Linked DNA regions of Lepisosteus oculatus. The protein of the gene in region 1 interacts with the protein of each later gene in a pairwise test. Links are inferred from orthologs where the notes say so. Each region holds a gene or a part of one and is shown in the gene's direction. Other genes may lie near its edges.

Region 1 (7,178 bases):
CTCCGACAGCTTCTTGTCGGCCTCGGTACTGGCCTCCCGCACCTCCTTGTTGGAGGACACATGCTGGGGGAAGTCAAGCACGTTCCTCTGCACTGAAAAAGAAACAGGTTACACGTTCAATCCTTAGGACACCACCTTCAGGCTAATTGGACAAATAAAGACTTCATGCATAATAAACCACAAAGGAACAAGTAAAGGTTTATTTGAAAAGAGAAGATAGGAAACACGTTTTGGCTGTGGAGTGTTTCGTTTCCTGTCTTCTCTTTTCAGCAGGAATAACCTAACAAAAAAGGGGAATGTCAGCACTCGGACAAAGGAGATTCTCCCCCCCCCCCCCCAACAACAGATTTACGCCAGGCCTCCAAACAATCAAAACCTCAGAAAAAAATGTATATACTTCCCAGTTCCTTTAACAATACCTATATACAATTTGTTGTCAAACACAGGCAAAGTGTCAGCTACTCTTTATGTAGAAAATGCTGAGCACTCTATACCATTGCCTGCTGCATTCCTGCCAGCTCAGGCCTTTAACAAAGGCTCTGTAGTGGCCTGTGTGTTAAGTGATGTTGCTGTGGGCTTATCTGGACTTATCTGCTTATGCAAACGAGCGTTTTTATTTTAGTCAAGTAAAGTCGCTAAAGAAATCTGCAAACAGATTTTAGAAATCTGATGCCATTTATCCCTTTTACTGACATTTATGACTTCAGTGCTTGTAATTACTGCATGTCATGACAGCATACATTTAATACACTTTAAAACAGTCATGGGCAGGAAACTAACCTACTTCAGCAAGACGTAGTTGGTTTTTCTCAGCACTTGTAAGAGTGAAGGTATTTTTAAGGAATTTTATACCAAATGGCATGAGATTTGTTTACTCCTTTTAGGTTGTTCAGATCCTAGGTCATCATCTGTTCCTTCTGTTTAGATTCACGTGAGGAACCTTCAAGAGTTAACAACACCAGCTTACAATTCCCTTTCCAAATCCCTTATCCGGATATCCTGGTATCTGGACCTGGAGTGAGCACACAGCTTTAGAGACACACGGATTTTCATTTTTAAAGACCAATTAGTGGCCTAACTGAATCCGTTATTGGCTCAGGGAGGCATGATTCCAACTGTTTCTCGAAACCGGCCGAAGCGTGGCTCTCCAGGACCGAAGAGGTGAGCTCACGTTCTGATCGGAAAACCAGCCCACGTGTCCGTGTGCCGCCACGAGCGGAAACGCAGCAGGACGCGTCCTTACCTGTGTACTCCACCTCCACGTCGGCCAGCGCTTTCAGGGCGTTGTCGTAGGTGACGGCCTCCAGCTCCAGAGCCCCCACGGCGTCGTACACGCGCTTGGTCCTCTCGATCAGCTCGTCGGCCAGCTGCCGGATCTGCTCGGGGCTCAGGTCCCAGCGCAGGCGGTTCTCGGCGCAGACCCGCGGGGCGCTGGCGATCACGACCTCACCTGCCGAGGGGGCGGGGGATGGGTCAGGCCCTGCACCGCGCTGGCTAACGCCGGGTCAGGACAACGTCAGGGCAGCAGGACGCTTGCGGACAGGGGCACTGGGGGGGGTTACAGTGTTTCCCCTTCTTGCCTACCAGCTGTGACAAAACAATTCGCTCCGGCTAGGCGGAGCAGAGCAGTGTACCGGCGTGGTCCTCGCTTCAAGAAGTATTTCAGACTCCTGACTGTCATGGTTGTTTCTTGGGCTCGGATACGTCCGAACATGTGCTCGATGATAAACTCTTGCTCCCCCACTCTTCTGCAGCCAAATAGACAGTGCACCAGTAATCATCCCGTGTCTTTTGATAACCTGCTGATGTGTTTTATTTGTACAGTAAAATGCTGAAACCTGCACAACTGTACCTTTGTCTGATGGACTCCGGGTTTATTATGGGGGCATGGTGTGTCACCTTTGATATGACCTTTGACCTGTTCCAACAGAACAGTTACAAACTCCAACTGCAGCTGCTTAGAATGATGAGTACTGTTCACAGCACTAGCGTGTGTGTGGCTACTGCAGGGCAAGAAAACCACTTCTGGATGGGCTAAATGGGCAAAGGCTGTGGCCCCCAATGACAAAAATCGCACGAGACAAAATTTAAAAGCACACAACACAACTCCTTTTTATGCAGAAAAAAATATTAAAACTTTCAGGAAATTCTGGAAAACAAAACAATTAAAGCTGTGGCACTGAAATTGTACAGGGTGACATGCAGTGGCTCATGTCTGCGATGTGCTCCTGATCCATGATGCTTACCAGAAATGAAGAAGTGTGACGTGGGTAATGTAGCCAATCAATCCTCACCAAACCAAACAGCCCTGAAGTTGTGTGAGATGCTGAAGTCTACAGGTTGGCTAACAACCCGTCATCTCTTTTGTGAGACAACGTTAAAACACGATTGCTAAATGTTTTGTTCACAAGCTCAGGCTACTGGAGAACCATATTTAACCATCAACAGTAGCTTAAATTAAACTTTTCTTAGTGCCAGGAGAGGTTTACAGAGGGCACTCCAAAAGCCCAATGATAACCACCCACAGCACATGTCCCTTTGTGTGACCGGAGAGGAATATGCTGACTGACTGACACCCAGAGAAATTCCTTTCAAAACAAAGAACATGCCTGAACTCTCTTAGAGGGACATTATACAGGTGGTGTTTTTAACTGTTCAAAATAACACTTATTAATTATTATCTGTTTTTGCAATTATGGAAAATGTTTAATAGTTTCAAACACTACATAAGCAAACGGAGTTTCAGATCTACTGAATGTCAGTTTTTCGAGTAACTCCTTTCTGGATATAATTTTGTTATACTGTACTGTAGTGCAGGTGGCTACAGAAAAAGACGTGACTGATGCAATTGAATATATGGGTCCCTTTTTTGCAAGACAATCTGTGTAGAGCTTCTTCGTAGCTTAGGTTAGGAGTGTCACCTAAATCACCACTCTTAAATCACGTCCACCTGACACTGACAGATACACTGACACAGTGACATCCGCGAAAAGATTACTCGAGCCGACGATTAGGGGGGCAAGCGAGTTTCATCCACGACCACGGACTGAAGTTTTGGGAAATTCTTCTTTCAAAACAAATCCACCTCGAAAAGAAGGAAATCTACCAACTACTCGAACCTATAGCTTGCCTCCTCAAGTTGACTCCCGTGTTACTCCTGTAATCAAATACCTAAACGCGATTCCCACTTATCTGCTCGGGAGAGCGGGGAGCTGGGACTGCCCGCAGTGAAACTCGTGTAAACAGACTGTGTCTGGGAGGGGTGCCCTCAAGTTCACGACTGCACTTTGCGAGAGCAAATGATTGAGCACGTTATCCCAGCTAGACACACGCCGCCTTTGCCGGACTTTTCAGTGGAAAATATTGAAGTTATTTGAAGAAAAACTGCACTCCATAAAAAAAAATACATTTTAACGTTTTAATTACGTAACCCCCCGTAAAGTAACATAGTACGGTCCGATTTCTGAGCAGCACCCAGTATACAAAAAGCAATTCATCTTGCAAATGAGAGGAGCTCATCAAAGAAATTTAAACTGTGGGTACTTATGGGGACGTAGGTTGACAAAAAAAAAGGTTTAATAACTCACCTGTCGGGGCCATAGTACACAAGGATGAAGTAAATTCGCCCTGCAAATACTCTGCTGAAGAGCTCCGGGTCAGAATGGTGTCTGCTCACACTGAACCACGCTACTACCGGGCTGAGCAGCAGAAACTCGGTGGTTGGCTGGCCATCCTGTCAATCACTCGTTCCCCTGGAAACCGGCGGTCGCTTCCGCTTCGGGGGGCGTTGTTTTATTAACGGTACTTCCGTCCCAGACTCCTGACTGTCCCGTCTGTTGAATTAATTTCACAACAGTGCGGCGGGTCGCCCTGAGCCTCGGTTGCAGGTTACGGCAAACAAAAATAACAGCACACGTCAGCGGCGACTCTGAATGGTCGACCCCGATGGCCTCTGTTTCGCGATTCCACGGCAAAGGCACTTTAACTGTTGTGGGACAAGGTGAAAAAAAATACCCAGCGAAATCAATAAAGAAACTAAAACATAATTAAAAACTAGCAATTATTTAATACAGTCACACACCCGCGCCACATGCTTTCTGTTTTTTGTTTTGCCGAAAACATCTATTTGTTCGAATATAATCGTTCTGGGGGGGGGGGGGGTGTAGGCACGTCCGACGCGTGACGTCAGAGGACGCAGACGGCCGTCACGCAGCGCAGCGCGAGGAAACTGCGGAGAGCCGGAACCGGGAGGTGAGACCCAACTTTTCTTGCTGCCGTTTTCATTAAAACCCGCACGGTAAACGCCGTTGCCCCGAGCGGGGCAGCCCCCCCCTCCCTCCGGCAGACAGCGATCGCAGGGGCTCTGGGGGCACCTTGCAGAAAGGGGGTTGGTAGCGGCGGCGTCATCAGCGAAGCGGCCAGTTTTGCTGTACGCTGCGTTGTCCCAGATTTACGGTAAGGCCGCACGGAGGAGCGGCGGCAGTGCTGGAATCTTCTGTTTGACAAAACTCACAGCCGGCCGAGGTTTGGTCAGACAGGTGGGAAGGACGGCGTCTCTGGTTCGGCTAGATCATCAGACCGCCCGGTCGGATTCACTCGGCACAAGCGCGTAGTCTCCTCTGATCGCTCGCTCGGCGCCGGGCAGAACTCTTTCATCGATTAAAAAAAAGTACGGATTTAAAGAACTGGGCAGACTGACAACTGCGGTCGCCGGGGACTTGTTGAGAATTTGTCTGTTCTGTAGTTTTACGAGACAGTTTTCGTACAGCAGTAGTCTCATATGATGCACAGGTTCGGGGACACAGATCTGCAGAATTGGGAGTCAAGAGCGGCCTTACTGAGTGTACTCAGTGTAGGTTTGGGTCAGTATTCAGTGTTTGAAGTTGCTTCACAGGGTGCGGTTACGATTAATCAATAGTAAAGTTAATTATGCCATTTTCAAGTGCAGTGTATTATAATCCAGCCACAGGCTGTCTGTGTGTACTAGGTACGTGAAAGCTTGGGACGACCTATTAGATCAGCTCAGCGCGTACACGTTCACCTACCGTGACATAACACGTGAGTCACCTTTTTCCGGAACATGCCAGATCCGAAAAGCAAAAGTAGGTTGCTGGTATGAAGGTCCCCAAATAAAACACGTTACTTCGTGTATTGCTACGTCCAGTGCAAGCTATTGATAAAAAGAAATTCATTTTCGCCAGCAGTGTGAATAGTCTGCCATTTTATTTCATACGCATATTAGGAGGATTTACATAAGGAATGTTAGTGCGAGCTGCCGTGCTTTGCTGCTGACGATCCACAGCTGCTCCGTCGTGGTCTTCATTTCTAGACGCGAGAGCAGGCCTGTTCTTGAAGGGTGGGGGGGTCACTCTGAGCCACAGTTCTGGTCTCCTGAACCTGGCCCGGGCTGGTTTGCTCCTTGTTTACTCATGCTCCCATTCATCTGCGAGGAACTGTGCTGTTTCTGGAGGAGTTAATTGGATAATATCAACTCCAGAATAAGCGGTCGCGCACAAAATGTGCATAGCACGGTATGCGTCAATAGACAAAAAAAAATTGTAATGCAAATGATAAAGTTGGTGTGTGGTAACGCCAAGTCAATGCCCTGTTTATTTTAAAGGCTCTTTGTTTTTGTACAATTTGCAGCACGGCTGGCTTGCACATAGGCACCAAGCATCTGCAGCATACTCCTCCTGCTGGTCGTTATTTTTAACCTGATAACTGATGACCTGTCCCCACTGAATATCACTTTCTACACTGGATCGGGTGCTTTAAGTGAGAGTGGGGAGGCTTCCCATTTAATCAAATAGTGTAATGCAGAAGTTAATGGATTCAGTTTCTCCAGAAGAATGTGGGGTTGTAATACCTTATTGCAAGTTTAGGAATCACCTTAGAGTCCAACAGCAGTAGCTAAATGAAGAGCAGTAGTAATCTTTATATTTAGACTTGCTTCTTTTTGTGTGCGTATTTATCAAATGGTGCCACAACCATAATGACTGAGACACCTGTTAATTGGAAAGAGTGGAGCAGTGGAGTTGATTGAGCTCACAGGGCTATTGGCACATGAAAGACAGATCTGTAAGAGAACTGAGAGAGCAAGACTTCTCCATTTATCACAGGGGTAACCTCCTGAGCTGTGCAGGTGTCCTTGATACAGCTGGGTCAGTTGATGCTCTCTGGGTTATCTGCCTTCCTAAAAACACTCATTGGGGACTTGAAGCCCTATTCTTCTCAAACGTTTAAACATGACCGTTCCTTTCCAGAATCTCCAGAAACCTTACCTACTGCCCCAGCCTACCCCCTCAGCTACCAAATGGCAGACACAAAGCGTATCGCATTCTCCATCATTCAGTTTCTCCATGACCAGCTCAACTCGGGGGACTTATCTTCAGATGCACAGGAAAGCCTGGAAGGTAAGACGACAATTTCATAAACCGGTACTGACATTCAGTTTTCATTTTAGGCTGTAGCAGAATTTTAGTGACCTTTGCTTACAGCAGCACATTCCCAGTGGAAATGGCAATAAGTGCAATAATTACTTTGCAATAAGTAGACATCAATAGCCAGCACTGTTTTCAGCATTACAGGACAGTGCCCTCCTCTGTGCTGAATCTGCTTTCACTGGGAGCCTTTTGCTCCTGGGCTCTTGTGAGTGCTGGTGGAGACGAGGCTGTCACAGACAGGTGTTTTCAGTTCTGGTTACAGTGTGAGAAGGTGCCACTTGGGGGTGGCACATGATTGGCCATGCCAAGAGAAGCTGGGACAGGGTCACACGTGACAGGTGTCATCTCCACTTTGGATTGTAACTCGTCCTGCTGTACAGACTACCCTAGTCCAGGAGAGCCCCGGTCCAGCCAGACTTACAAACTGTCTCTGGCGTTTGGAAACAGTACCTGTAAATTATTAATGACTTAAGCTAGTGATTGCTTCAATTTAAAATACTCTGGCCCTCGGGGCTGGAGGACACTCACATTTCATCCCAAATGATTGTTAAATAATTTGACAAATAGCCTACTTAACTGATTGCCATTTAATTGTTCATACTCTTTTGAAATTGGTGGTTTAAGATTGAGCTGTAAAATGTACTGGTTTGAGGCTCTCCAGGAGCAGGATTGCAATTGATCGCCTGCAATTGAGTTTTACGTAAAATACAGCTGCACTCTTTTTCTGATATAACA
Region 2 (8,011 bases), on another chromosome or scaffold:
TCTCGGAGCTACAGGCGCACGTACGCCGGCCCTGGGTCTCCGAGTCGCTTTCAGCTTCAGACTCCGATATTTCCCAGGTCTTCGCCCTCTTCAAAAGTAGGGACATGTTTTTAACCTCGGCATTTTTTTCTGAACTATGCTGCTTTCACGTTTAAAATGGCTATTAAAAGCTGCTAGACTAGCATTTCATACAGTCCTCGATATTTTTATTGTTCTTTTAGCAAATGTGTTTGTGCAAATATCTATTTTAAATTAGGTTTAAAAATACGCATTTGTTCCGAATCACGGGAGGCTGTTCAAATGCACTTTAAAGTTGTTATACACAGGTGTATATATAATCGTATGCCAGTATCGATGTCTCTTCAAATATAACTGAAGTAAACCACGATTCGTGTTGGTAAGTGCACACATACGGTACACCACTTAAACATTTAAACCATTTACAGCGTTTAAAATACTCATTAACCTAGACGATACCAGGATACTAGGGCTTGATCTCTGTGGTCTCAGTGCTGAAAACTGCGACTTCACCACAAATGACATTAAACACTTTTTTTTCTAAATATTGTGCTGAACTGCTGTTTTGAATACGAGACAAAGCCCTCCGATGTCTCCACCAATTCACATGATAGCGCTCCAGTCGGAACCATGTTACGAAATGTAAACGTTGACGGAAGAAATTGGGTGCTGGAACGGTCAAAGGAAGTTACGTTGTGGCTGAGGTTAACTGCAGAAAAAAAGGTTAGAGGTGTCTTTCATTGCTGAAAATTATATGCTGTTATTCTTAAACGTTAAAAAAATTATAATGAATACGGGTTATAGAATTTCGTATACCTTAACAAAAGCATTGTTTATTAAGTGCTTGTGAGAAGGGAGATGAGGGGTAGATGACGTTTTGAAAAATAACCCGAGAACATTCTTACACCACACTGCTTTTCCCACGTGTTTTTTGCATAAATGTATTCATATAACTGAATAGTGTCTGACAAAATGTAAAAAGGTCAAACGAAAAAAAAAACGAGTTAAACGTGATTTAGAAGTGACTTTGAACAGCCGGTTTGTGATCTCTCGTTTCCAATGCAGGTCTAACGAGCACTGAAAATCCCTCTGACTTGGAATTAGATCACACGTGTTTTCTGTTTAAATACCCCTTAATGCCAGGTCCAGACGTCGTGTTTGGCTTGTCCCACTCTTTTCATTAGAAGAGCACTTCAGTGTCGTGGCGAGTCTGTTGATGGCTTGGTCGGTGCTGTCACCGGTGCACAGCTAGCAACAACAACGCTCAGTAGGAGTCCAGAGTGCATTTTTTCTGAAATTGTGCCACTCTGGAATCAGTTGATGAGCTTCCACACATACAAGTAGCTATAATCCATGGGACAGGTACAGGAGATATATGAATTGGTTAAATCCATCAGGAAGTCATCCAGACATAATGAACTGGGCTTGGCTTTGAGTGCAGAATGGTTTTCTCAGACAGAAGCGAGTGCTGTTCGAATGCATTACTCCTTCTGAGTGCTACAGAAGGTCTGTTTAAACGATCCGAATGGGATCATGCATTTTTAGGTCATGTTTTCCACTGTTCCACAACACCCCGAGCCGCTCCACCGTAATGCTGGTGGGTTTTGTTTCAGGATGACACGGAAGAAACGCTTGAGGCCAATCGCCGAGATGGCCCGGAAGATCCGGGAGTACCGAGCGCTGAAGGAGAGGCCGCGGGACTCCCAGCGCTACGCCCTCGATTACAAGACCATGACGCGGCCTTACACGGGCAAGCAGCTGCCAGTGCTGGCCTGGGAGGACGTGCGGCGCGAGACCCGCCTCTTCTCCCTGCTGTCCGGCCTGAGGTTGTTCGGCATAGGGCGTCTGTTCACCCGGAAGTCCTGGCTGAGTGAGCACCAGGAGCCCTGCTACTGGCAGGTCACCAAGGTCAAGGTGGACTACACCGCTGAGGTCGGTAATGGGTGACAGACAGCGATCCCACCGCTGACACAAGTAGATTTTGTTTTGCGTAAATACCACGGAGTACAGTGTAGGCAGCGATAGAGCACTGATGTTTAATTTTACTGTTCAGGTGTTTAATGTAATGCTCCCAGGTCTAGTCCTCATGAGCTATGACGCCCTGGTTTTTAACGGTGTCCTGGCCAAATTTCCAATTGGCCCTTACTAATCATGGCCTCCTAATAATCCCCCTCTATGAATTGGCTACATTACTCTGCTCTCCTCCCCACTGATAGCTGATGTGTGGTGAGCGTTCTGGCGCACTATGGCTGCCGTCGCATCATCCGGGTGGATGCTGCACATTGGTGGTGGTGGAGGGGAGTCCCCATTACCTGTAAAGCGCTTTGAGTGGAGTGTCCAGAAAAGCGCTATATAAGTGTAAGCAATTATTATTATTATTATTATTATTATTAAGTCATCAGCAGCTTGTGACTTGGGGGAAATGTATGAACCAGGACAGATGATAGGCTTTTTAAAAACAAATATTGTACCAGAACTGCACGGGAGAACCTAAGATTGAAAGAAATAGATAGATAAGATAGAAAATTAGAGAATGCAACCAGGCCCCGTTATTGAGCATGAAAAGAACTCTGTAAATTCGTATTGCAAACAAATAATTGCATTTGGCGAGGGCATCTCAGAAAGATGGTTTCGCTTCAGTTAACTTCAGTCAGCAAAGGCTGTGCATCCTGAAGAACGTTCGTAACTTGGGAGTCATCGGGGGTCTCACTGGTCCTGTAACTTCTGTCCCATCAAAGAGCTATTATTAACTAATATAATAAACAGAACATATTATTTAATAGGATGTATAATATTTCTCTCCTTTTCAAACAACACAGAATATGGACCATGGAAAGGCATGGGGCATTCTGACCTTTAAAGGTAAGTTTACTTCTTCTGTGGTTCTTTTTTTACCTGCAGTGATTTCTACTCATAACCTGTCCATGCCTTGGTTAGAATAGAGGTACAGGTAGCTTATTAAGCGCAATGCGTGTGCAAAGGGGATATTTGACAAGTTGCCGACAAGACTCTTCGAAATCAGGCACCTCATTTTATCTGTTTGGTAGAGTTAATCCTGAGGTCAGTGGTGACCTGGTTTTTGCACTTGAATAAGTAATTTTGTTTTAGTCAGGATGGAGTGAGAGATCAATTCTGATTCTTGATGGCTACAGTATTTCCAGGTTTTCGTCACAAAATTGATCTAACAAATTTCAAGTTTAAGAGGCATAGCTGGCATGCTTAGAAATGGATTCTTAAGAGCAAGAGCTGTAAAACAGAACTTTTACCTTCCAGAGCTGAATGCGATGTGAGAGGAATATCGCAACATCAGGAAGCCTCACTTGTGCCCTGTGGAGGTGGTGGGCAGTGATACTGCATTCTGCTTCGTTTTACATTCAGAGTGTGCGTTCTGTTATTTTCCTCTGTAGGGAAGACGGAGGAGAAAGTGAAAGAGATAGACAAAGTGATGTACCACGACTGGCGTCTGGTGCCCAAACACGAGGAAGAGGAGTTTAAGCGCTTCACGCCCGCGCCGGACCCCCGCGAGCGATACGTGCTGTACCCACCTCTCCTGCGGGCCATGATCATGGCGCAGAGAGAGAAGGAGGGCCGGCCGACGGGCGAGGAGCCCCTCATCGACCTGCACAGGAAAGTCCACTTCACCAAGGATTACTTCAGACAGCTGGAGAGTCAGCAGCGCCAGGAGGGAACCCCCGTGTGACGCCTCTGGCCTCTGGCCTCTGACCTCTGACCTCTGACCTCTGCAGGGGTGGAGAAGTGACTGAACGGCATTCACGGTTAAATGCACACGGGGGAACCCCGCTGAGCAGAGGCCGTTGTGTTCAGTTAACCATCCACACTGCACTGCAATGCATTGATTAAAGAGCACGTTGCACTGGGTTTAACCCCTGCTGGTCCCTTTGCAGATCATACCCTGATGCAGCTCCCTGCTGTAACCTCTCAAGTATGGATGTGCATTCAAAGTCCTCCTCTTTTTTTCACTTGTGTTGTTTCTCTGTTCCCACACACGGCTCTGCCATGCCAATTGGTGCAAAGTCTGCAAAAAGTTGAGATGAGTCTCTCTGCCCTCTTTCCTCTCTTACTATGTGCAGTACCTGTACAGCGTCTTAGCTGTTACTTGTTGACAATGACTGTTTTCCTAGGTTTCTTAACATCTGAGCACTACAGCACTGTACCTTGGTTCACTCAGTGGAGCTCTCAGTTTCCAGTAGGAGTAAATGTTCTATAAACTATCTCATTCGAAGAAGAGGGCATATGTACATGTGGTTTGTAATATCATTACTGCCACTGTAAACCTCACTGCAATTGTTTTGTGATTAAATTTGTGTGGATTGTGTCTGTGTGATGTGTTTTGTGACAGACTTAAGCAGAGCGGCAGTTGATTATAAAAAACAGCGGAAATAAAACATTCGTCTAAAGCGGTTTTGTTTTTTACCTTAGATAGTGGGTGTTAAACCTTCAATTACTGACAGTTTGCTGTCACACTGTGACAGCTTCACTTCCTCTAAATAAACATTTCAAATGGGGAATCATTTCAGTTCAATCTTAGTTCTCATTTTGATCATTTCATACTGGCTTTCCTTATCGAGAACACATACAGTAAGTAAATATGCACAAATCTTTTTGCCTAATACAATTTGAATGTTCCCTAAGTGGGAAAAAAATGCACTTTACAAATCGTTATTCCTCGATGAATTTTGTTAATGGTTGTAAATAGTGACAATTCTGGTATTTAGAAATATTTAACATGCTTAGTGGTAGTAATTATTATTATATTGCAAACCATATCTTAAGGCAACAGGAGGATGATATTTATTAATTAGCATGAGTTACAAAGTCCAGGGCATTTTCAAGCTCTAGAAAGTCTTACTTTGGGGAAATCAAAGGGCATAATGTAAACATATTTCTTTAAATATTTTACAGTGTAGCTATATGCAGTCTACGCCCTTAACAGAAACTCTGACGTCGACGACGTGCTCGCCTCTTCACCAGCATTTCCTCGTGCTCGCGTGATTGAGCCCGGAGGTTTAGGGAACGCGCTCGGGCACCCGCGGCGCTCTCACTGTCTGGTGTGGCCGGTGTGTGAGTTTTTTTGGGAGGACGCCTGTGGTTTCTGATGCAATAATGATTTGTCTCGTTTTAACCATATTTGCAAACATCTTTCAGACCGGTAAGCACAATTTTAGTGTCACGATAAGTGATTTTCGTTGAGTGTTAGTTTTTAAATTTGGTGGTGGGAATGACGTTATCCTTCCGGATTCGAACAGTCCCAAGTTCATCCTTTTCGAAATACGCTATAGGGATAGTGGCTGCACGCAGGTACAGTATTTTCCAGTTTTCTGACGTTTTATAACGGTCTGAGCTATCTAATAATCCTATCGAAAACTCGTCTGAGCAGATTGCGCTTAAATGTGCACTCCTGGAGCATGCATATAGCTATCCTTTGTGTAGGCTTTTTTAGCGTTGTAAACCCAAGTGTCATATCGGCATTGCAAATGAAGTAAAACTGGTTATCTGGGTAGGCAGCCTTTGAAACCAGTCATGTGCATTTCAAGCATTTCATGTAACATAACCGCGTCTATAATGAACAGTGGAAAATAGCGCGTACATTCAGGACAATAGAGGCCTAGACAAATGCGGTGTACACGCCTTTGTGCATTTTAATGCTAGCTGATGCAAACGTTTGGCAACAGATGTGCGTTTTTTTTTTGTTGCTTTCCAATGCTTCACACTTGTGACCTCTGGCCCTTCAAGCAGAAATGAAGTTTCTGCTTGTGCTACTTGCTGATGTTCTGCTCAGCTGTAGTGTTCTCCGATAAGCCTTTATGGCACCTGCATTCTGTTATCACCTTTAAGCACACATGAAACAAAATCCCCAAACATTTGCTGCTCTACATATACAGTACGTCTGAACTGTTGTGCCAATAAGTAAAGGTTTGTAGGAGTGGATCTGAGAATCCCGAGAGGTGAATCCTGCGGGTTGGATCCTCTATCCCGAGGACAGCAGACAGCACGCCAACCCAAAGCCCGGAGATGAGTTCTGCACAGTTTCTCGCCTCCAGAACAGGGCTAGTCTGAATCCCAGTCCAGCGCTGGGTGCCGGCAGGGTCTCGGAGGCCCGCGAGCTGCCTGCGTGTGCGGCGGCTGACCTGTGTTATCTCTGCAGCCTGGGCGGGCATTAACGAGCGCACCTTCGTCGCCGTGAAGCCCGACGGGGTGCAGCGCCGCCTGGTGGGCGAGATCACCCGCCGGTTTGAGCAGAAGGGCTTCCGGCTGGTGGGGCTGAAGCTGGTGCAGGTAAGACTGCCCTCCCGCCTGTCACCCGGGCGGCGCTGTGCACACCCTCCACCGCTGAAGGAGCCGTGTGTCTGCCGCTCTCACCGCGACCCGCCTCTGAGTGAGCTCAATCAGCTCGTGATGGGCTTGACTGGACCCATTCAACCACTTCTGCTTTGAAGGAAACCCAGAAAAACCTCTCAAGCAGGACTGGGCCGCCGGGCATGTGATCCCTGATCTTGGTACTTCATGATTGCAACTGCCATGGGGATTTCAGATTGGACGCATGGGTAGAAGGAGCACCAGAGGAGGCTTAACAGGGAGTGGGAGTGAGGGTCACGGACTCGGGCAGGCCAACACAAGTATACACAGCTACTGGGGTCTCTCGAGTAGCAGGGGTGTGCATTCAAGTGCATCACGTCGCTAGCCGAACGGGACTGTGATTCTCCGGGCAGTCACACCTTAAAGGCAGGGTGACAATATTCAGCCTAGGCTCTCGGCTCATGGCACCCCCTGTGGCCTCCTGTGGCCTCCTATTGCGCTTGCAGACAGGTCTGTGAGGGACGCACCTTTCCTCCAATCAGCGCTGACCCTCCAGCTTATCGGTGACATGTTAAAAGACGATTGATTGGCTGGAAGGTGGGCGAGTCGGAGGAGTGTGCCTCCCACTCCCTCATCCTCCCCCGTGTGCAGCCGCAGGGTCTGTATCTGTGAGCTGAGACGTGAACACCACCCACTGAACTATCGGGGGTCGGTACCTGCAATTTTGGACACTTTAAAAAAAAACAAAATCTCAGATTTATCATATGTGTTTTGCATGGCCTATGCTTATGAGAGGGAGTAAATGGAATTTATGAGGCACTTTTGTCCTCGAATCCCATCGCCCCCCTGCTGTTGTGGGTGGTGGGGGGATGTTGTTTCACCCATGCAGATGGAGGGGCTAATGTGTCTCCGCTCTGTCCCAACACAGGCCTCAGAGAGCCTGCTGAAGGAGCACTACAGGGACCTGAGGGAGAAGCCGTTCTTCAGGGGGCTGATCCGCTACATGAGCTCCGGACCTGTCGTCGCCATGGTGAGCGGGATTCACAGAACGCAAGCATTCCCGTGATTGGTATTCCTTTTCCGTAGTCTTCTAGTCATTTGGTTTGTTGTTGATTTCCACCATTTTTCATTGGACTGTTAAGAAGAACGAGTGGTCAAGGAAGCCGAAAGGGCCCCTATTTACCTGCTCTGCTTGATTGCTTTCTGAGCAGCCGTAAAATTTCACTACTTAATAGTGGCGAAAGTAGGGGGAGTTGAAGGAATCATTGCAAAGCGTCAGAAGGATGTCCAGCATTCTTGCGCTGTTGTTTAAAGGGGTAGCAGGTCTTGAATCGCTGAAATGATTTTCCGGGAAAGATGCCGGTGGTGGTCTGTGGGCCGCGGGGGGGCTCTCCTGCCTCCGAGTCTGTCTGATTCCTCCCTGTGTCTGTGTGGAGGTGTGGCAGGGGCTGGACGTGGTGAAGACGGCTCGCAAAATGCTGGGCGAGACCAACCCTGCGGACTCCCTCCCTGGCACCATCAGAGGGGACTACTGCGTGGAAGTGGGCAGGTACGACTGAGGAGGGCTCGGGGACTTCCTGGCCTGCCCAGCCTGCCGCCTTCCTTCAGTCAGAACCACTGCGCTACTCTAATGTAGCCGGCTCCATGTTTGCTGCTTTGTTCCTGCTAATTATCA
Region 3 (7,370 bases), on another chromosome or scaffold:
CACACCTCCCCCGTGCACCAGCGCACTTTGGACACGCCCCCCTGTTGTCATCCCCGTATTCCTCCATGACCTTTTTCCCCAGTGTTTCCTCACTCCATCCAGACGGATTGTGTCGTCTGCATAGGGTCTGGAAAGAACTGTTTGTGACACTGTAAAAATGTAAGGTGTTCTGCTGATGGTGGAAACATGCACTTTCAGTGGGTTATCATATTGACATTGGTTACCTTCATACTCTTAAACACTGCTGTAACATATTAAATTATAAATTGATAAAGACTGTGTAGCACCTTTATTCAGTGTTATAGCTATTACAACACCAAATAAAATCTATGCAAGTTATTCATTAAAAAACATAAAAGCCTGAGTTTAACTGAAGAGCCCAAAGTATTTTGTTTCATGTAAGTAAATATTTTTCCCCTCAAATCATTGATTTGAATTCTAAAGGTCAGGATAAAGTTAAATTAAGCAATATCAATGTTGTGGTAAATAGAACCCCACAGTTAAATATTATCTTCTTTAAACTGAAATGTGAAGCATTATGTAAGCAACAAATTGTTAAGCAAAAACAAATATAAAAATAAAATTATATTAGCAAATCACAAAGGAAATACTTTAGTAAATTGCAATGGAAATTTAACTTGGAAATACCCATTGCAGGAATTCTTGACACATTTGGGCTGAAATACCACCATAACTCTAACAATTATTTGTTAAACCTAATTTAGTCTTGTGATTTTCTGACAAAAAAGACAAAACTGACAAAAAACCTCCATGCAATTCCTGTTATCAGACTTTACAGAGGGGTTTCATATAAAAGGAGGCATTGTTTAAAGTCTTGGCTGCAGTCTTAGTACAGTCTTAGCACAATCAAAAATTGTATAATTATCAGATATGATTCTGAATATAATATTTTCAAAAACTCACACGGCTGTTAGAAGTTTGGAAATGTATTTTGTTTTTGTAAAAAAATTGGTAAAAATTGATTTTACAAAAGGGAAGATGCAAATGGCATGAAAGAAGAGATGTCATTTCTAGTGTATCATATAATTGTCCAACTAACATAAACTTCTAAAGACATGGAATATGTCATTTATAGGTATGTTTGGAAACCACCTGTGCTTTGGTTTAATTGGCACACACACACACCCTAGGGCCAATTTGCCCAGAAGCCAATTAACCTACCAGCATGTCTTTGAACTGTGGGAGGAAACTCATGCAAACAAGGAATGATTATAGATAGATAGATACTTTATAGTCTCCATACAGATAGCGCTTCAGTCTGGAATTAAACCCAGGGCCCCAGCACTGCAAGACAGCGGTGATAACTACTGTGCTACCCTACCGCACATCTTATACCAGTTCACTTCAAATCCTGTAGTCAATAAAGACCTCTTAGCTGGTTTACATTCAAAACGTTTTTATAAAGGGAAGAAACTAAGACGATTAGTGCTCTTAGGTGATCTGTTTCCTTTAAGCAATTACCGTGTAAACAATATATTTTCGGGGTTCACAAATCTCTTAAATTATCAAATTAAAATTCCAAATTAACAACGCTTTACCACACTTGTTTTCTGTGAATTGATTTCTATCTGTAACCTCAATATTAATCCTTCTCTCTGTGTGGTAGATGCCTTGGTGGTGGATTAATCCTACCACACACATAAAGATCTTGCTGGTGATCATGATAAATTCAGAACAGTATTGCAATACAGGATTGTGACAGAATAAAACTAATGAAATCTCCTATGAGACTAAACATAATCATAGAACTGCAAATATCTTTATAAAGTAACATACATTAAGAGAAAATCTTTTAAAATCAGAACAAAACCAACTATCTTTCTTATTTACACAGTAAAGAACTGGATCGATGATTTTGTTGTTCATTTACAGAAATGTGGTAAGTCATTAAATTAAATTTTGAATGAATAAGCCTTTCGGGTTTTTAAAATTTTTCCATTCCTCTAAAATTCCCACAAAGAAACTGTATTTTTTAATTTGCTATATATATATAAATAAGTCTTGAAGCTATCAAACCATGCCCTCATTAAGTAACTTCCTTATTGGCGGAAAACCAAACTTTACTTGTTGTCCTTTGTCTTTTATTGCATGTGTGGGTGATATCCATCTTTCAAAGAGAAAAGGGAAAAGGACAGAAAAGTATAGCATAGTATAAAAGTAAAGATGAACTGAATTAGTTTTTTGTGTTCTTCATTTAAGTGTTGTTCATACTGTTCAATTGTTCAATAATTTTCATTGTTCAAAATTGTTTAATGTACTGTATTTGACTGTCTTTATTATTATTATGACATAGATGAAGATCAGATCACATTTTAGGAGCCGTTCATGCAGAAATCTAGCTAATTCCAAAACACACAAACTTTTTCTCACAACTATATGTGTAAAAGCGACAATAGTAATAAACATTACCCAAGAGTCAATAAAATGTGTTGATTGGAAAATTAGAACACGCAGAGCCCATCAACCCATCAACCTTAAATTCAGGAGAAAACCCAAATTCTTCATAACAATCATCCTGAAAACTACAGTACCACAAGGTGGTCTGAGAACATCACATGTCACCTTAACCTTAACCTAAGACAAATGACCGGATTACAGCAATACATTGACCCAGATTTCTAATTGTAAATTGGACATTATTCATTGTTTCTCTAGGTTAGTTGATAAAATCCACTGAAAAACAAAATCTTGTCATTAATTCAAGCCAAAGAATAGGTACAGATGTAAAAAGGTCCCATTAACATATATTTTTAACAATTAGAGTTTTAATAATTATTTTTATCATTTGCTTTACCACCTTTTCTTAAACTACTTATACTTATAGTACAGGATATTTACATGTTGTAGGAGACTACAGCCTGCAGCCAACTCCTACAGTATGTAAGATCAAACCCCTGGACTGGTGCTGTTTTTGCAGCTGAGAGCAAATACCATTTCAAGCCAAAGCATTTCTTCTCCCATTTGAAGATAAAATGTCCTCCATGTTCATTTTCTCTGGCTTTATACGAGACACAGTATAGCTGTTGTAGGAATGGATAACATATTGTATGACATTAAAAAATACTGAGTTTGCATTCAGGGAAGAAAAGACAGTCTGTTTTTGTATGAAACCTACTGTAATTACAGGTCCATTAAGGGTTCAAGAAAGACAAAACTGCTAACTCTTGTCTGTCAAAAACCAAAGTCAACAGATAATATCAAAAAGGTTGCTGATTTGATATTCTGCTGCTTTCAACTTCAGATACCATATTTACGTTAACTGGAAAATCAGTAGAATTAGCCCAAAGGACTGTGCAGATCATGCCATTACAAACATGTGGAATTACCAGATGAGCTCTGTTTATAGAATAGTCCGTTATTTTCTATTTGAGGATTTCCAAGAGGAAACATTAATAAAAAATGCATGCACAAGTTAATGCTAATGTAAAACTGGTAACTACTGGTTTAAGTTATAGAACTACAGGGATTTAAAACACGTTTACTCTTCAGCAGGAATTACTCACCATTGATTACTGTAAGTAGCCAGTTTAAATCTTTTATTATTTTAGCTCTGAGCTGATATCATACATATCATAGAGACTGTGTACTCAAAGTAGTAGATTAACACTAGCATGTCTCCATAATAATTTAAAAGCTCTTTGGTTAATACTTTTAATAATATTTGATTACTCTTACCATTGTTCTATTCTTCACTCAATAAAAACCACTTTAATATTAGGACCAGTTGATTTAGTAATGCTAAAAAGATCAGATTCGTATTGCACATATATGGACATCAGGTTTGTATTCATATTCGTGCAGTAAAAGCAGAATTACACAGAAAAGACTCCAGGTTTATCCGTCAAAATCATTTGGGTCAGCAATGGTCACCCCGCCTTCACTTGAAAATGAAAGCCCACGTGTTATATCCTCTGTGAACGCCGTCGATTATAAACCGAACAGTTTGGGTATTTTTGTTTTGTGTGCATTTTTAATTTCAGGTTACTGTACCTTTTCGTCACTAGGAAACAAGAGCTTTGCCACCCACAACGAAAATTCTCGAAACAAACAGCGAACTGTTATGCCAATGGCTTAGTAAGTAGCTTAAACAGAACCGTAATTATCCGGACCCCAACCTGTAATCACACACACACACACAAACACGCTGAGGTCCTCACATAAACATATTTAATATTTTTTAATCCCGTCATTCTACAGTTTGGGGAAAAAGAACCGCTGAACCCGAGCCAGAGGACGCGGGTACCTCCACAACCCGAACTACAGCAGCCACCCCCACCAACGTAAAAGTAAAGTGACGTACAGTATGCGACGTTCGGCCGCTGCTCAGCGCTCATTATAAAAGGGGACAGGACTGCCGTCAAGCCGGTGAGAGCTGCAGAGCTGCACGTCTTATTCTGGGGGGTAGGGGAGGGACAAGGTAGAGAACAGTAGACGTTTCAACGTTTGGTAAGTTACTTGAGGTAGCTACGGAGATGTAAAAGGGGCTAAATCATGTTGGCTCATCTTCGGGAACCAGACGGTTTTGTTTTTTTTTTTCTCCCTCGTGGTTCAACTCGTACGGTTATGATAATGTTTAAATCATAGTTTCAGTAATTATTGTTATACGCTTAAATTCGTGCCTATTAATAGCATCCTTTGATTGCGACGCAAGACAGAAGGACATTCTGCACACTGCATAACAGCTTGGAAGCAAAAAGGTTTTCTTTTCTGTGTGCTTAAAGTGGGCGTTCGGGTGTCCTCATTCAGTCTGTGCCTGGATGCGCGATCTATTATATTTCTTGTAAGGGTTATTATTTTTGCTGATTTATCTTGTGAAGAGGTTTTTGTTCCGTCTGAAACGAGACGGTGAATATGTCACGGTGAGGAACATGCCCGGTATACGTCACTGTGGCAAAAAATAAGATACTACAGCAGTTACCTGCGGGTCCAGCTGAAATACAGGAAAAAGGAAGCTAGAGGATTTAATTTTGAAACAATTGGGATTTGTGTGGATAATGCACAGAATAGCTGGTATAACGAACATGATATATTCTCCAGTAATTCACGAGGGTACATCATACTTTCTTTCAAGCTGCAGTAAATATTGGTGCCTAAAAAAAAATGAAGTATCCGTAGCACATGGCAGGAAGTACATCGATTGACCTTGACTCTCCAGACCTACAGTAAATGAAGTGACGCTTTGAGACGTTTAATGGAGAAAAGCTTAACGCCCTGTACAGTAAAATATTAAATATAATCTTAAATATGTTTTCTTATTTAATGTTTCTTGTAGGGTAAAGACAATACAGAAAGCAGCAGCTGTAATTGGGCCTGGTGTAACACGTGTTCTTTTTTTGGCCTTAAGAGACTTCTGTCTCGTCTTTTTTCGTCTTTGAGATTAAGATTAGCGAATCGTGTTGCTTTTCGTTTTGTGCAATATTAAGGTTAACAACATTTATTAGCTGTCTGGGCAGATACAAAGGAAATATGTCCACATCACAAGGTTTTGTGAAACTGTGTGCTCTTTCTATTTGATATATAGAAAATGTATTTCTGAAACGTAATTAAATGAAGAGGGGGTCATTGTAATGGAAATGGGGCTAAGGGCTTGCTGGGGTTTGAAATGTCACCGAGGCTGGAAACAGACATAGCCGGACTTGACCATGAGGTACCTCTGATGTCCTTGAAGGCCACTGGTACATGTCCTTTCCCCTGCAGTACAGGAGGGGTGTTAGTGTAGCTCTAGTCACAACAATTGTCTTTGTATATAATAATTCACTAGATTCGCACCTTACCGATCTGAACATTAACTATATCGTGAACTAAGACACGGGGGAAAAAAGAAATCTGCTTTATACAGTATGTAACGTTTAGCTGCCAGCTTTTTTATCAGCTTTTATTTTTTTAAAGACAAGTTGGACTTTTTTATTTCCTTGTGTGAGCTGCTCCCTTCTTCAATTTTTAATTAGATTTTGAGGCTTTTTTTAAGATGTCTAATTTTAATACTTTTTTAGACATGGCAATATGTGAAGTACAAAACATTTTTATTATACATTATTTTATTATTAAGTTTAGGAAGTCTAGCTGGACTTTTGTTGTATAAATAATAAGTATTGAAAAATTACCGATACTGTACACATTTCTTAAACGTGCACTTTTACAATACTGACACTTAAGAGAAACTTTCATACGTTTCTTTAAAGTTTAAAAACTGAAAACAGATTTAAGTAAATATACTTAACACATTGGTTGCTGTGTCTCATTCTAGCTAATATTAACATTCTTTATGAGCAGATTTGTTAGGCTCTTGGATTTCTTCCATGAATAATGTGGAATCTTTGAAGTAGTGTCCCGTGTTAACTCACATGATTTGTCACAATCATGGAGCAAAAGATACAGTGGTTTTTCTTTTATGAAAGGCATTAACCTTTGACCAAAATCTCAGTCGTGTTTAAATAATCGCTCCTTTTTCAAGTTGAGCTTTCTCAAGCCCCTCTAAGAATTAAGCCAATGAAATATATAAGCTTCAATATAAATACTGTATGTAAGTATTGTCTTGTAACTTTGGAGTTAGGACAATCATCCTTCTAAATACTGGCAGGTTGTGTGATTTTTATAAAGTTATTTTTGCTCTTTTTAGTTTTAAAACCAAATATATTTTTGCTGTAAGATGTGCATGTTTGATAAATGCAGAAATAATCAATTGTTTTATGTCTCTTGGATATAAGAGATTTTTCTAGATGACATTTTTGAGTATTTACAATAAGTATGCTTGGGTTCTTTTCTTATTTCCTGCTTCAGTTTTCCTGATCCATTAAGTAACACTCTTGACTGCTTTCCTGAACTTTACTGCTGCATGTAACAAGAAACTGAGAAAAAATCAGATTTGCCGGGTCTCTCATCTGTGTCCGACACGATAAAAAAAATGCAGTTCCCTCCTGATCGTGCCTGTTGAGAGGGAAATTGATCAAGGACGTGCCGGTATCCCTTACTGGTGTTTAAATATAGTAGTACTCTGCAGTGCTTTTGTGTTCCATACTCCTTTTATTGTGAGGCTGAAGCCATCTCATGCTTGGCAGAATGGACTTCTAAATGTCTGCACCATGGGTTCGTTATGTAATATTAAAAGGCAGAAGGATGTTGTAGTTCCTTATTAATAATTTCCTTAAATGCACAGACGTGCTGGACTCGTTAAGATTGTAGGCTGGGTTCCTAAAGAGCTTTAGTGTATGGGGGATCATCTTGCAGCATGACCCTTGTGCATGCACATCTGGTTTAACAGAAAGGTTCCTCTTGCCTGCTTTTATAATGAATATTGTGATAAGGGTCTGGCCTTGAGCAGTTCTGAAACCTTGAATGATAAGGCTACT

Evidence for each region. The genes of interacting proteins can lie anywhere in the genome.
Region 2: the proteins of sgta (region 1) and nme3 interact in binary tests that used the Homo sapiens proteins (3 or more experiments, as listed by UniProt). The two-hybrid records come from large-scale screens. The link is inferred for Lepisosteus oculatus from reciprocal best matches to the Homo sapiens genes SGTA and NME3.
Region 3: the proteins of sgta (region 1) and tfr1b interact in binary tests that used the Homo sapiens proteins (3 or more experiments, as listed by UniProt). The two-hybrid records come from large-scale screens. The link is inferred for Lepisosteus oculatus from reciprocal best matches to the Homo sapiens genes SGTA and TFRC.

Annotation. Positions count from the first base shown.
Region 1 is NC_090724.1:1,363,255-1,370,432, reverse strand, and holds the start of sgta (small glutamine-rich tetratricopeptide repeat-containing protein alpha), read left to right. Parts: upstream 1-4,166; 5' UTR 4,167-4,251; intron 4,252-4,275; exon of another isoform or gene 4,276-4,455; intron 4,456-4,515; exon of another isoform or gene 4,516-4,669; intron 4,670-6,263; 5' UTR 6,264-6,313; coding exon 6,314-6,413; intron 6,414-7,178. Other genes in the region: thop1 (thimet oligopeptidase), read right to left, coding at 1-92, 1,244-1,450, 3,588-3,600. UniProt on the Homo sapiens protein: Co-chaperone that binds misfolded and hydrophobic patches-containing client proteins in the cytosol. Mediates their targeting to the endoplasmic reticulum but also regulates their sorting to the proteasome when targeting fails.
Region 2 is NC_090714.1:4,080,002-4,088,012, forward strand, and holds the start of nme3 (nucleoside diphosphate kinase 3), read left to right. Parts: upstream 1-5,008; 5' UTR 5,009-5,142; coding exon 5,143-5,188; intron 5,189-5,224; exon of another isoform or gene 5,225-5,337; intron 5,338-6,184; coding exon 6,185-6,315; intron 6,316-7,264; coding exon 7,265-7,366; intron 7,367-7,772; coding exon 7,773-7,885; intron 7,886-8,011. Other genes in the region: probable crossover junction endonuclease EME2, read right to left, coding at 1-106; mrps34 (small ribosomal subunit protein mS34), read left to right, coding at 1,633-1,950, 2,838-2,880, 3,426-3,718. UniProt on the Homo sapiens protein: Catalyzes the phosphorylation of ribonucleosides and deoxyribonucleoside diphosphates, other than ATP, into the corresponding triphosphates with ATP as the major phosphate donor.
Region 3 is NC_090708.1:13,443,620-13,450,989, forward strand, and holds the start of tfr1b (transferrin receptor 1b), read left to right. Parts: upstream 1-4,367; 5' UTR 4,368-4,386; exon of another isoform or gene 4,387-4,467; intron 4,468-7,370. UniProt on the Homo sapiens protein: Cellular uptake of iron occurs via receptor-mediated endocytosis of ligand-occupied transferrin receptor into specialized endosomes. Endosomal acidification leads to iron release.